Linked DNA regions of Callithrix jacchus. The protein of the gene in region 1 purifies or fractionates together with the protein of each later gene. This does not show direct contact. Links are inferred from orthologs where the notes say so. Each region holds a gene or a part of one and is shown in the gene's direction. Other genes may lie near its edges.

The links.
Region 2: the proteins of NUMA1 (region 1) and WDR76 purify together in Homo sapiens (affinity purification with mass spectrometry; 3 studies listed by BioGRID and IntAct, with this or other methods). This does not show direct contact. The link is inferred for Callithrix jacchus from reciprocal best matches to the Homo sapiens genes NUMA1 and WDR76.
Region 3: the proteins of NUMA1 (region 1) and EPB41L3 purify together in Homo sapiens (affinity purification with mass spectrometry; 3 studies listed by BioGRID and IntAct, with this or other methods). This does not show direct contact. The link is inferred for Callithrix jacchus from reciprocal best matches to the Homo sapiens genes NUMA1 and EPB41L3.

Annotation. Positions count from the first base shown.
Region 1 is NC_133511.1:68,933,042-68,936,692, forward strand, and holds part of NUMA1 (nuclear mitotic apparatus protein 1), read left to right. Parts: coding exon 1-1,537; intron 1,538-1,991; coding exon 1,992-2,033; intron 2,034-3,004; coding exon 3,005-3,082; intron 3,083-3,455; coding exon 3,456-3,524; intron 3,525-3,651. UniProt on the Homo sapiens protein: Microtubule (MT)-binding protein that plays a role in the formation and maintenance of the spindle poles and the alignement and the segregation of chromosomes during mitotic cell division.
Region 2 is NC_133509.1:31,503,030-31,506,680, forward strand, and holds part of WDR76 (WD repeat-containing protein 76), read left to right. Parts: intron 1-1,290; coding exon 1,291-1,417; intron 1,418-3,603; coding exon 3,604-3,651. UniProt on the Homo sapiens protein: Specifically binds 5-hydroxymethylcytosine (5hmC), suggesting that it acts as a specific reader of 5hmC.
Region 3 is NC_133514.1:57,792,511-57,796,161, forward strand, and holds part of EPB41L3 (band 4.1-like protein 3), read left to right. Parts: intron 1-918; coding exon 919-1,016; intron 1,017-1,717; coding exon 1,718-1,893; intron 1,894-3,651. UniProt on the Homo sapiens protein: Tumor suppressor that inhibits cell proliferation and promotes apoptosis. Modulates the activity of protein arginine N-methyltransferases, including PRMT3 and PRMT5.

The DNA of each region.
Region 1 (3,651 bases):
GGCGGCCAAAGCAGAGCTGGAGATGCGGCTGCAGAACGCCCTCAATGAGCAGCGTGTGGAGTTTGCTACCCTGCAAGAGGCACTGGCCCATGCCCTGACGGAAAAGGAAGGCAAGGACCAGGAGTTGGCCAAGCTTCGTGGCCTGGAGGCAGCCCAGATGAAAGAGCTGGAGGAGCTTCGGCAAACCATGAAGCAACTGAAGGAACAGCTGGCTAAGAAAGAAAAGGAGCACACATCTGGTTCGGGAGTCCAGTCTGAGGCTGCTGGCAGGACAGAGCCAACAGGCCCCAAGCTGGAGGCGCTGCGAGCAGAGGTGATTAAGCTGGAGGAGCAGTGCCAGCAGCAGCAGAAACAGGTCGACAGCCTGGAATGCAGCCTCAAGGTTGAGCGGGCCTCCCGGGCTGAGTGTGACAATGCTCTGGAGACTCTGCAGGGCCAGTTAGAGGAGAAGGCCAAGGAGCTGGGACACAGTCAGAGCGCCTTAGCCTCGGCCCAGAGAGAACTGGCTGCCCTCCACACCAAGGCACAAGACCACAGCAAGGCTGAGGATGAGTGGAAGGTCCAGGTGGCCCGGGGCCGGCAGGAGGCTGAGAGGAAAAATAGCCTCATCAGCAGCTTGGAGGAGGAGGTGTCCATCCTGAATCGCCAGGTCCTGGAGAAAGAAGGGGAGAGCAAGGAGTTGAAGCGGCTGGTGATGGCCGAGTCAGAGAAGAGCAAGAAGCTGGAGGAGAGGCTGCACCTGCTCCAGGCAGAGACAGCTAGCAACAGTGCCAGAGCTGCAGAACGCAGCTCTGCCCTGCGGGAGGAGGTGCGGAGCCTCCGGGAGGAGGCCGAGAAACAGCGGGTGGCTTCAGAGAACCTGCGGCAGGAGCTGACCTCACAAGCTGAGCGTGCAGAGGAGCTGGGCCAAGAATTGAAGGCGTGGCAGGAGAAGTTCTTCCAGAAAGAACAGGCCCTCTCCGCCCTGCAGCTCGAGCACACCAGCACACAGGCCCTGGTGAGTGAGCTGCTGCCTGCTAAGCACCTCTGCCAGCAGCTCCAGGCCGAGCAGGCTGCTGCTGAGAAGCGCCACCGCGAGGAGCTGGAGCAGAGCAAGCAGGCAGCTGGGGGGCTGCGGGCAGAACTGCTGCGGGCCCAGCGGGAGCTTGGGGAGCTGATTCCTCTTCGACAGAAGGTGGCAGAGCAGGAGCGAACAGCTCAGCAGCTGCGGGCAGAGAAGGCCAGCTATGCAGAACAGCTGAGCATGCTGAAGAAAGCACATGGCCTGCTGGCAGAGGAGAACCGAGGGCTGGGTGAGCGGGCCAACCTTGGCCGGCAATTTTTGGAAGTGGAGCTGGACCAGGCCCGGGAGAAGTATGTCCAAGAGTTGGCAGCCGTGCGTGCTGATGCTGAGACCCGTCTGGCTGAGGTGCAGCGGGAAGCACAGAGCACTGCGCGGGAGCTGGAGGTGATGACTGCCAAGTATGAGGGTGCCAAGGTCAAGGTCCTGGAGGAGAGGCAGCGGTTCCAGGAAGAGAGGCAGAAACTCACTGCCCAGGTAAGGTACTCAGCCCAACCACTGCCCCAAAGATCAGGAGCTGAGAGTGCGGGGACATCCATCCTCTGTGTTCCAGGGCCTCTGGCTCCTACACTGGAGTGTCTTGCTTTTCCTCATTGACTGGGTGGCAGAAAAGGAGAGGTGGCTGGTGGAGTTCAAGTCTGTTGCCCCTGTCATCCTCAAGAAAATATCAGTGGCCTCCCCTCCCCTGAAGGCTCTGTCACTAGAGAGTCAAGTTGAGATTACCACCAGCCCGTTCCAGAGGCACACTTGCACTGGATGCCTCAGGAGCTGCCAGGGACTAGAATAAGCCTAACTGGCATTTTTAAACGTACTGTCAATCTAGCTCCTTGGGGGAGAGTATCAGGGCCTCAGTGAGGTGAGCCTGGCAGCAGGGCTGGTGCCTGTTTGGCCCCATCTCACTCTGTCTCCGTTGCTCCTCCCCCATGTACAGGTGGAGCAGCTAGAGATATTTCAGAGAGAGCAAACTAAGCAGGTAATGCCTGGGGTCCTCGCTAAATGCTGGCTGCTTAAACGGTGACCAGTCTCAGTGCATGAGCCCGGCTGCAGCTTGCCTCCACCAGCTCCTGTTGTGAACTGTTTGTGAAGGGGGCAGGGTCAAGCCATGGAATCCAGGCCCAGGCTGCCCAGGAGTGCGGTGTTCTGGGCTCTCTCTCGGGCCTCATCCCACCCGTCCCAGGTCGGCCTCTCCACCCTTCTGCACCTTCTCTCATCTGCCTGTCAGGGACAAGGGGTGGCACTGGCTTCATCTTTCCCACACCTGAACCAATGACGGACACAGTCCTTGGGATTCCCAAACTTCCCAAGTCCTGTGACCAGTTAAGAATACTCCACTAAGAGGAACAGCAGAATTACCTGTGGGCCTTGTTTAACCTGGTACCCTTTTGCCCAGAGTATGGCTTTATGGAAGCCTTGAAGGTGATAAGCAAGGCAGCCCCCACGGGTTAGGATTATAGGCTCAAGACACTTGCCCATCACTTTCTGGGGCTCTAACTCTGAGCACAGCATAGAGATGTCTGGAGCAGGAAGGGCCTACACCAGATGGGGACGGGGAAGTGGGAGTCACATGGTCTGGCTGCCTCTTTCTCATGGGGATCTCTGTGTTGCCTGAGACATCGAGGCTGTTGAGCTGGCGTTAGTGAGAGCACCCTTTCTCCATCATTCTCCTACCCAGCCACCCCAGGACTGCTGAAAAATTGGGCACTCCTCTTCCTCTAAGGAGCCTGAGATAATGGGGGACAATCAAAGTGAACAGCAAACAGTTGGCAATGGAGCCCTTGCCTCTCCCCTGTGCTGCCCAGTCATGCTTGAACTCCCAGAATGCTTAGAGCAGCCAGGGATGCGTGGGGCTATATTCTCCCTCTTCCCCTACCTCCCTGTGCTCTTCCTCTGTGGGAGTGGGGTGGGCTTTGGAGTACGTGTGCTGCCCCTGCTCTTGTCTTCCAGCAATCTGTTCCCCCAATGCTAACCACAGCAGCCACGCTGCTAGCACCAGCCCTAACGGCCTGTGGATGTTGGAAAGAGGTCTGAGCATCTGTGGGCTTGGGCTTTGGCAGTTTCTGGGAGGGAAGTATGGGAATTGATTATGTCTGCTAGAATTACAGACTAGAATCTGGGAAGGTTGCCACTGTGGAGTGGTGGCAGCAGCAGGGTGGTGGTGGGGGTGACACGGGTCGGGCAGGCCTCTGTCTCTGCAGGCTAAGGGTAGAGACGAATATGGACAGGTGGCCCTAGCAACATCTATGTTAGGTCGCCTCATTCAGGCCCTGCCAACCAGCCTGGGCAGCAGGCTGTTCCCTAATAGAGGCCAGAAAAAGGGCCTGAGTTTCTTCTAGGAACACTAAGGATCCTGGTCTGGGAAACCCCTGAGTCTCCTGTCCTCCTCTTCCCTCCCCAGGTGGAAGAACTGAGTAAGAAACTGGCTGACTCTGACCAAGCCAGCAAGGTGCAGCAGCAGAAGCTGAAGGTGGGACAGCTAGGGGAATGGGTCTGGCCTCTGGACGGGGGAGGGAAGCTCATCTCTAAGCCCTTGGGCTGTGGTGGGTGTCAGGGCAGAGGAGGGGCACCCTGCATTCCAGGCAGCCCTCCCGGGA
Region 2 (3,651 bases), on another chromosome or scaffold:
ATGTTAGCCAGGCTGGTCTTGAACTCTTGACCTTGTGATCTGCCTACCTCGGCTTCCCAAAGTGCTGGGATTACAGGTGTGAGCCACCGTACCCAGTCATACTTTACTTTTTTTAAATGCAAAAATAGTACATAAAAAATAGGGAATGTGTATGATTTAAAAGGTAAACTATAATGTTTGGAAGGGAATGCAGTGCAACATTTAAGTTTCCTTCCTATTTTAGACCTTAGTTTTCCAGGTCTTTTCCCTACAAGTAGTAGTTTTATATGTATTCCTCCATAGGTAACCTCAGCATGTGCAAATTTATATGTTTATGTAACCTTTTTGTAAACATGTACTGGACTTTGTTTTTGCTTTTTCTTTTTTTTTTGGAGACAGTCTTGCTCTTGTCGCCCAGGCTGGAGTGCAATGGCACAATCTCAGCTCACTGCAACCTTTGCCTCCCTGGTTCAAGGGATTCTCCTGCCTCAGCCTTCCAAGTAGCTGGGATTACAGGTACCCGCCACCACGCCCAGCTAATTTTTGCATTTTTAGTAATGACAGGGTTTCGCCATGTTGGCCAGGCTGGTCTCAAACTCCTGACCTCATGATCCACCTGCCTTGGCTTCTCAAAGTGCTGGGATTACAGGTGTGAGCCACTGTGCCCGCTTTTTTTTTTTTTTTTAATGTAATTTTGCATTTTTGGGGTGAGGGGGCAGGAGATGAAGTGTTATTCTGTTGCCAGACTGGTGTGCAATGGTGCGATCTTGGCTCACTGTAACCTCCACCTCCTGGGTTCAAGTGATTCTCTTGCCTCAGCCTCCCGAGTAGATGGGACTACAGGTGCGTGCCACCACACCCAGCTAAGTTTTGTATTTTTAGTAGAGACAAGGTTTTACCATGCTGGCCAGAATGGTCTCAATCTTTTGACCTTGTGATCTGCCTGCCTCGGCCTCCCAAAGTGCTGGGATTTCAGGCATGAGCCACCTCGCCCATCCTGTTTTTGCTTTTTATAACCTAGGGTTCCTTTCAGCAGTACATAAAGATCTATATCATTGTTTTTATGGTTGCATATTATTCTATTAGATATGTATACTATAATTTATCTAACATCCCTCACCTCCCTATGATGAACATTTAGGTTTAAGTTTCTTCCATACTTCTTATTAAGATAATTGTGGTCATGTATATATAGCTATGCAGTGTTTAACTGTATCTGTGGGACACATTCCTAGAAGTTACCTCTTTAATATTAGTAAATATATTTTATTGTTTTGCGAGTATAACAGGAATTTTTCCCTACTCCTTTAGAAAGAAGCCTAAGAAGAGAGAAAATGGGATTGGATGTAGAAGGTCAATGCGATTACTAAAAGCTGATCCTTCAGGAGTTTTATTACCAGCAACTCCAGTACCACCGGCATTAGTAGCAGATGAAACTGTAAGAAAATGTGCAAATACAGTATATTACTTAATAAAATACTGAAAAATTTGAAGTGTTGAAAGTAGACCAAAAGTTCATTAGATTATGTTTAATTTTATATTTCATTTTTGAATTTTTTTTTTTGAGACGGAATCTTGCTCTGTTGCCCGGGCTGGAGTACAGTAGCATGGAACCCCCTCCTCTCAGGTTCAAGTGATTCTCCTGCCTCAGCCTCCCGAGTATGTGGGATTACAGGTGCATGCCATTATACCTGGCTGATTTTTTATATGTTTGATAGAGACGGAGTTTCACTATGCTGACCACATTGGTCTTGTACTCCTGACCTCAATTTATCCACCTGCCTTGGCGTCCCAAAGTGCTGGTATTACAGGTGTGAGCCACTGCGCCTGACTTGTTACGGATTAATGAGTAAGATTTCAAAGTCATAAAGACTGGATTGGATTCTGTATTTCTGCAGGGCTTACCAGCTGTAGGATTGTGGGTGAGTTAATTAACCTTTCTGATCATTTCCCCATTTAAAAAATGTCAGCAATAATAGAACTCTCAGTAAATATGTACAATTTTATGTCAGTTAAAAAAAAAAAAAGAAACCTCCGCTAGGCGTGGTGGTTCATGCCTATAATCCCAGCACTTTGGGAGGCCGAGGTTGTCAGATCATGAGGTCAGGAGTTTGAGACCAGCCTGTCTGGTATGATGACACCTGTCTCTACTGAAAAATACAAAAATATTAGCTGGGTGTGGTGGCACACACCTGTAGTCCCAGCTACTTGGGTGGCTGAGGCAGGAGAATCAATTGAACCTGGGAAGTGGAGATTGCAATGAGCCAAGAACATGCCACTGCATTCCATCTTGGTTAACAGAGTAAGACCCTGTCTCAAAATAAAAAGAAACCTCTAAAGAGCTATTGTGAGCATAAATGAAATCATATCTGTAAAGTTTCTCACATTGTATTAAGGTCTTAGTAATCAATAAACTAGTTATTAATGTTAATTTTAATGAGTAGCATTTTATTTAGCAAACTTATTGTCTAAAATTTTTTTTTTATTCAAGAACACCTATTTTTTAATATTTTATATCTAAGCATTTAATTGTAAATAGGAAAGTGGCACTAATTAGGCTGGTGCTTTCGGAGCAAATTGCAAATCTAGGTGTTATGGGAAGCAGCATAGAAGAATAGCTTTCACATTTTTTTGAAGCCTCAGCCCACAATAAATATATTTATGGCCAGGTATAGTGGCTCATGCCTGTAATCCTAGCACTTTGGGAGGCTGAGGCAGGACAATCACTTGAGCCCAGGAGTTTGAGACCAGCCTAGCCAACATAAAGAGACCCTGTCCTTACAAAAAATACAAAAATTAGCTGGGTGTAGTGGCATGTGCCTATAGTCCCAGATCCTCAGGAGGCTGAGGTGAGAGCATCATGTTGTTTAGGATGGTCTCAAACTCCTGGCCTCAAGAGATTTGCCTACCTTGGCCTCTGAAAGTGCTGGGATTACAGGCATGAGCCACCACACCTGGCTGGTATTTCTATTTTATTCTCATTCACTGAAACAAATTGCTAGTTGCGACATATTAACATGATTTCTCACCCATTTATGTGTTACAAACTGTGTTTAAAAAAATACTATCCCCCCTCCCAAAAGAAAAAAATATTATCCCCTCCCACAAGGTAGGAGCTCCCTCCCAGATTTCCCCTCTGGAATCCCCTTCCACACTTTTCATGGAAGCCTTTCTCTACTCCTTTCCTTCTCTTCTTTCTACCTAAATAAAATCACCTTTCTGCAACAACAACAACAACAACAACAAAATACTAATGTGGTATACTCAGTATAATACTGAGTAATGAGTTAAGATAATCTGAATCAATTCTCAGCTTCTTTAGTTATTGGCTCTGTGGCTTTGGGCAAGTTAACTTCCCTAAGTTTGAATTCGGTGTCTTTAAAATGTGATACCTCATTCACTATGTTGTTGAGAGGATTTAATGAGATAATACATGTTATTATTACTTTATAGGGTACCTGACATTCATTTATGGAACAATTATTTTGAATGTCTATGATATGCCACCATTAATTGCTGATGTAGAAAGTGAAGTTGTAGAAAAACAGACAAATACCCTTGTCCTCCTGTGTTTACATTCTAGGGCAGGGAGACCAACAAAAAACTTTTTATTTTTTATAACAGCCTTTGTTACCTCCTGGGCCTTTAGAAATGACTTCTGAAAATCAAGAT
Region 3 (3,651 bases), on another chromosome or scaffold:
GTATTTCCCACTTCCCCAATCATCCTCAGCAAATAAGAAATAGAGGTCAAGCATGATTGTATCTCACATGCTGCGCATATGACCCCTCATCTTGGTTCTTTGCTACATAAATTATTTTTACTATTGATTATAGCAGTAGTTCATTTGTTTGCTCTTTTGGAAAGCCTTTGCTGTTTAAGATGATTGCCCTCTGGTGGTCTGTGTACCTTCTTCAGAATATGAAAACTTGTATGTCTGCAATAATAAAGTATATTATGCAGGAAATGAGATGAGTATTTAACCTCAAAAAATCAAATGGCTGACAAATCATCATCTGAAATGTACATGCTGAAAAATATGAAAGTGTGTTCCCCCAATCTGTGGTCTTAGGCATGATATAGAGAAACATTAGCATTTAAACTGAAAATCCATAATGGAATACACAAATAAAATCAGCAATCTCTGATACCAAGTCATCAACTACCTAAGAAATATATATATTTCCTGACCAGATATTAGGAGAAAAATGTCATTTCTAAGAATACTGTAGACTATATCTGTAAACATTTTGTTCATTTCTGTAACTTCCAGTTGAAGTCATTGTGTCATTGAGAAACCATGAAAAGTTTAAAAGTGCAAAATTGATTTCTGGAAGAAATCAAAAAAACCCTTTTTGTGTTTAGTTTTTAGTTGTATCATAAGATACACACTTAAGACATTTTACTGCATACATAATATGGTTATTTATACCTGCAGCATTTTAAAGGCACATTTTTTTAAAATTAGTGAATGTGTATAGCATGAATTATGCATATAGCAATTGATCTAGTTAGTAAATTTTTAAAATTCTGGTGGCATTATGATTTTATAAGTTATTTACAGGGCTTCTGTTATTCATAATTTTAAACTTTACTCTTCAATGTATTTTTTTTAATTTAGTTTGAACAATTTGAAAGCACCATTGGGTTTAAGCTGCCAAACCATCGAGCGGCCAAGCGTTTATGGAAAGTTTGTGTTGAGCATCATACATTTTTCAGGTAGGAAGAGATTATTTTGATTTTTCCCTAAGGAATAATTATAATCACTTATACTGAAAAAGATTATCAGGAAGAGAAATAAGGAATTTTATCCTTACTATTCCTTCAAGTTCATTCTCACCATATTTCTTGATAAGAAATCCTAACAGAATTAGAAAAAGACTAAATTTGAAGGATTTTCCTTAATTTGTCAAGTACTTACATGTCCCACCTCCCCCACTTCTTATCTTTAGTGTGTTTACATTGTTTTTAGAGTGTCCACTTCAAATAGCCAATCCATTTCTATTTCAATTCCTTACAATTTCAGTGATTTCTCAATACCCTGTCTCTCTTTACTTACCTACACATAGTGTGAGACCCATCAAATTAGACATCCAATAGCAAATTATCACTCTTCTTCACTAATATCGCCTACTTAGTTGCTGTTTGGTCTTATAGAACCATAGACTGTCCACTTTGCATGGAATGTTAAAAGTTCCTCTAGTTTAGTACAACCCTAATTTTTATATATCCTCTCTACAACATCCCTAGTTGATGTATATCATGTGCATTTTTTTAATGAAATCATATTTATTTAACTGCAAGTTGTGTGTTAAACCTTAAGCACACAAAACACATGAACTCGCAGAGTATAAAGTTTAAAAAGCATTCTCTTTATTGGACTTAGCAGTCTTTCTGCTCTTTTTCTGTATTCTCTCTAGACTGTTGTTACCAGAAGCACCTCCCAAGAAATTCCTAACCTTGGGTTCCAAGTTTCGTTATAGTGGCAGGACACAAGCACAAACGAGAAGAGCCAGTGCGTTGATAGATCGCCCAGCGCCTTACTTTGAGCGCTCGTCCAGCAAACGTTATACCATGTCTCGCAGCTTGGATGGAGGTAGGCATCACTTACTGGCCCTTAATAACCCTAGCAGCTACCCCCAAAAGAGTACGACACTATCATGAGCTTTCAGTAAGCATAGATCCTCCTGGATATTGTACATGGAAAAGCAGTTGTTGCTCATTGGCTGAATGGCAGATATTTAAGACTAATATAATAGTCACATAGTCTGTGATTTGATTTCCTTGCTGACAGATCTTAAAGGATTAGTAGGCTTAAGACTATTTGTTTCATGAATCTGTAAGTTAAATTTATTTGTCTCTAAAAAATTTTATGAATAAAATGTGACCTTTATCAATCAGTTGATAATAGCTGGTAGAAAGGATGGCATGCAAATGACAGAGCAAAGGGCTGTAAGTTAAATTCTCCTGGTTGTGCTAATTACCACTCCAGATGGGCTGGGAGAGCAGTGCTATGTGGGGGTTCTGTACTGCCAAGTCAAATTAGTCAAATGGAGAGATGATCACTCAAACAACCTTTGTATGGGATAACGCAACAGTGAATTTTTAGTAGCGTTTTGTTTTATCAAACAGTTTCTTGATTGCTCTCTGGAGTAATATGAAGGCACGCTTTCTGCAGCAAGGCGTGCCTGCTGTGGCAATACTTGGGGACTATGTCTGGGTCTCTGTCTTCTCATTTAGAGCACCTGGAGATTCACTGTTTTTAATAGAAGATCTTAACCTGTGCAAATAAAAAGAATTAGAAGTTTGTGGTGTGCATGTATGGTTTATATAATAAGGAAAAACATAAATAAAAATAAACAAAAGTTACAAGTGCCTAGGACCATCTCCCTCCCTACCTTTTTTGCCACTGTTCCCGATAGTCTCAGCTCTGCCTTCCCCATTTCACTATCCAGGTGATTGATGGGAAGAGGTGCTCCTTAAATCTCCCAACTAAAACAACCATCTTTTTCTAATGGAATACTTTATGAACAGTTTACAGAAGAAATCAAAATAGCATTATCAGTACTACGTTATGTATGCTACTGGTGAGGTGGGAACTGTACTCATGCGGCATTGGTAAATCCAGACTCAAGTCCAGGTTCTGCCGCCCTCTGTCTCTGTGATGGTTGGCAAATGATTTCAACTCTCCAGGTCTGTTTTAGTCATCTGTGTAATAAGAATAAGGCCTCCTTTGACAGGGCTATTGTGAAAAGCAAGATATATGTGAAAGCGCTCTTGTTACATAGGCAATTATCTCAGTAATCCTATTGATAATTACTCTTTTTTCACAGTTTTAAATATTTCAGTAGCTTTTGGGATACAAGTGGTTGTTGGCTACATGGATGAATTGTATAGTGGTGAAGTCTGAGATTTTACTGCACCTGTCACCTGAGTAGTGTACATTGTACCCAATATGTAGTTTTTTTTTAATCCCTCACCCGTCTCCCACTCTCTGCCTACTGAGTCTCCAGTGTCCATTATATTTCTCTACGTACCTTTGCATACCCATAGCTTAGCTCCCACTTACAAATGAGAACATATGGTATTTGACTTTTCATTCCTGAATTACTTCATGCAGAATAATGACCTTCTGCTCCATGCAAGTCACTGCAAAATACATAATTTCATTCATTTTTATGACTAAGTAGTATTCCATGCTGTACATATTTTCCACATTTTATACTGATAATTATTCTTACAGGCTTTTGTGAGCTAGCCTAGGAAGTTATTACCGTTGTGTGTCTTCTGAGAGTTTCTGGAATACCAAACTTAGAGCCAGCCCTTTTAAGTAAAATAGTTATCAGGACTGTTT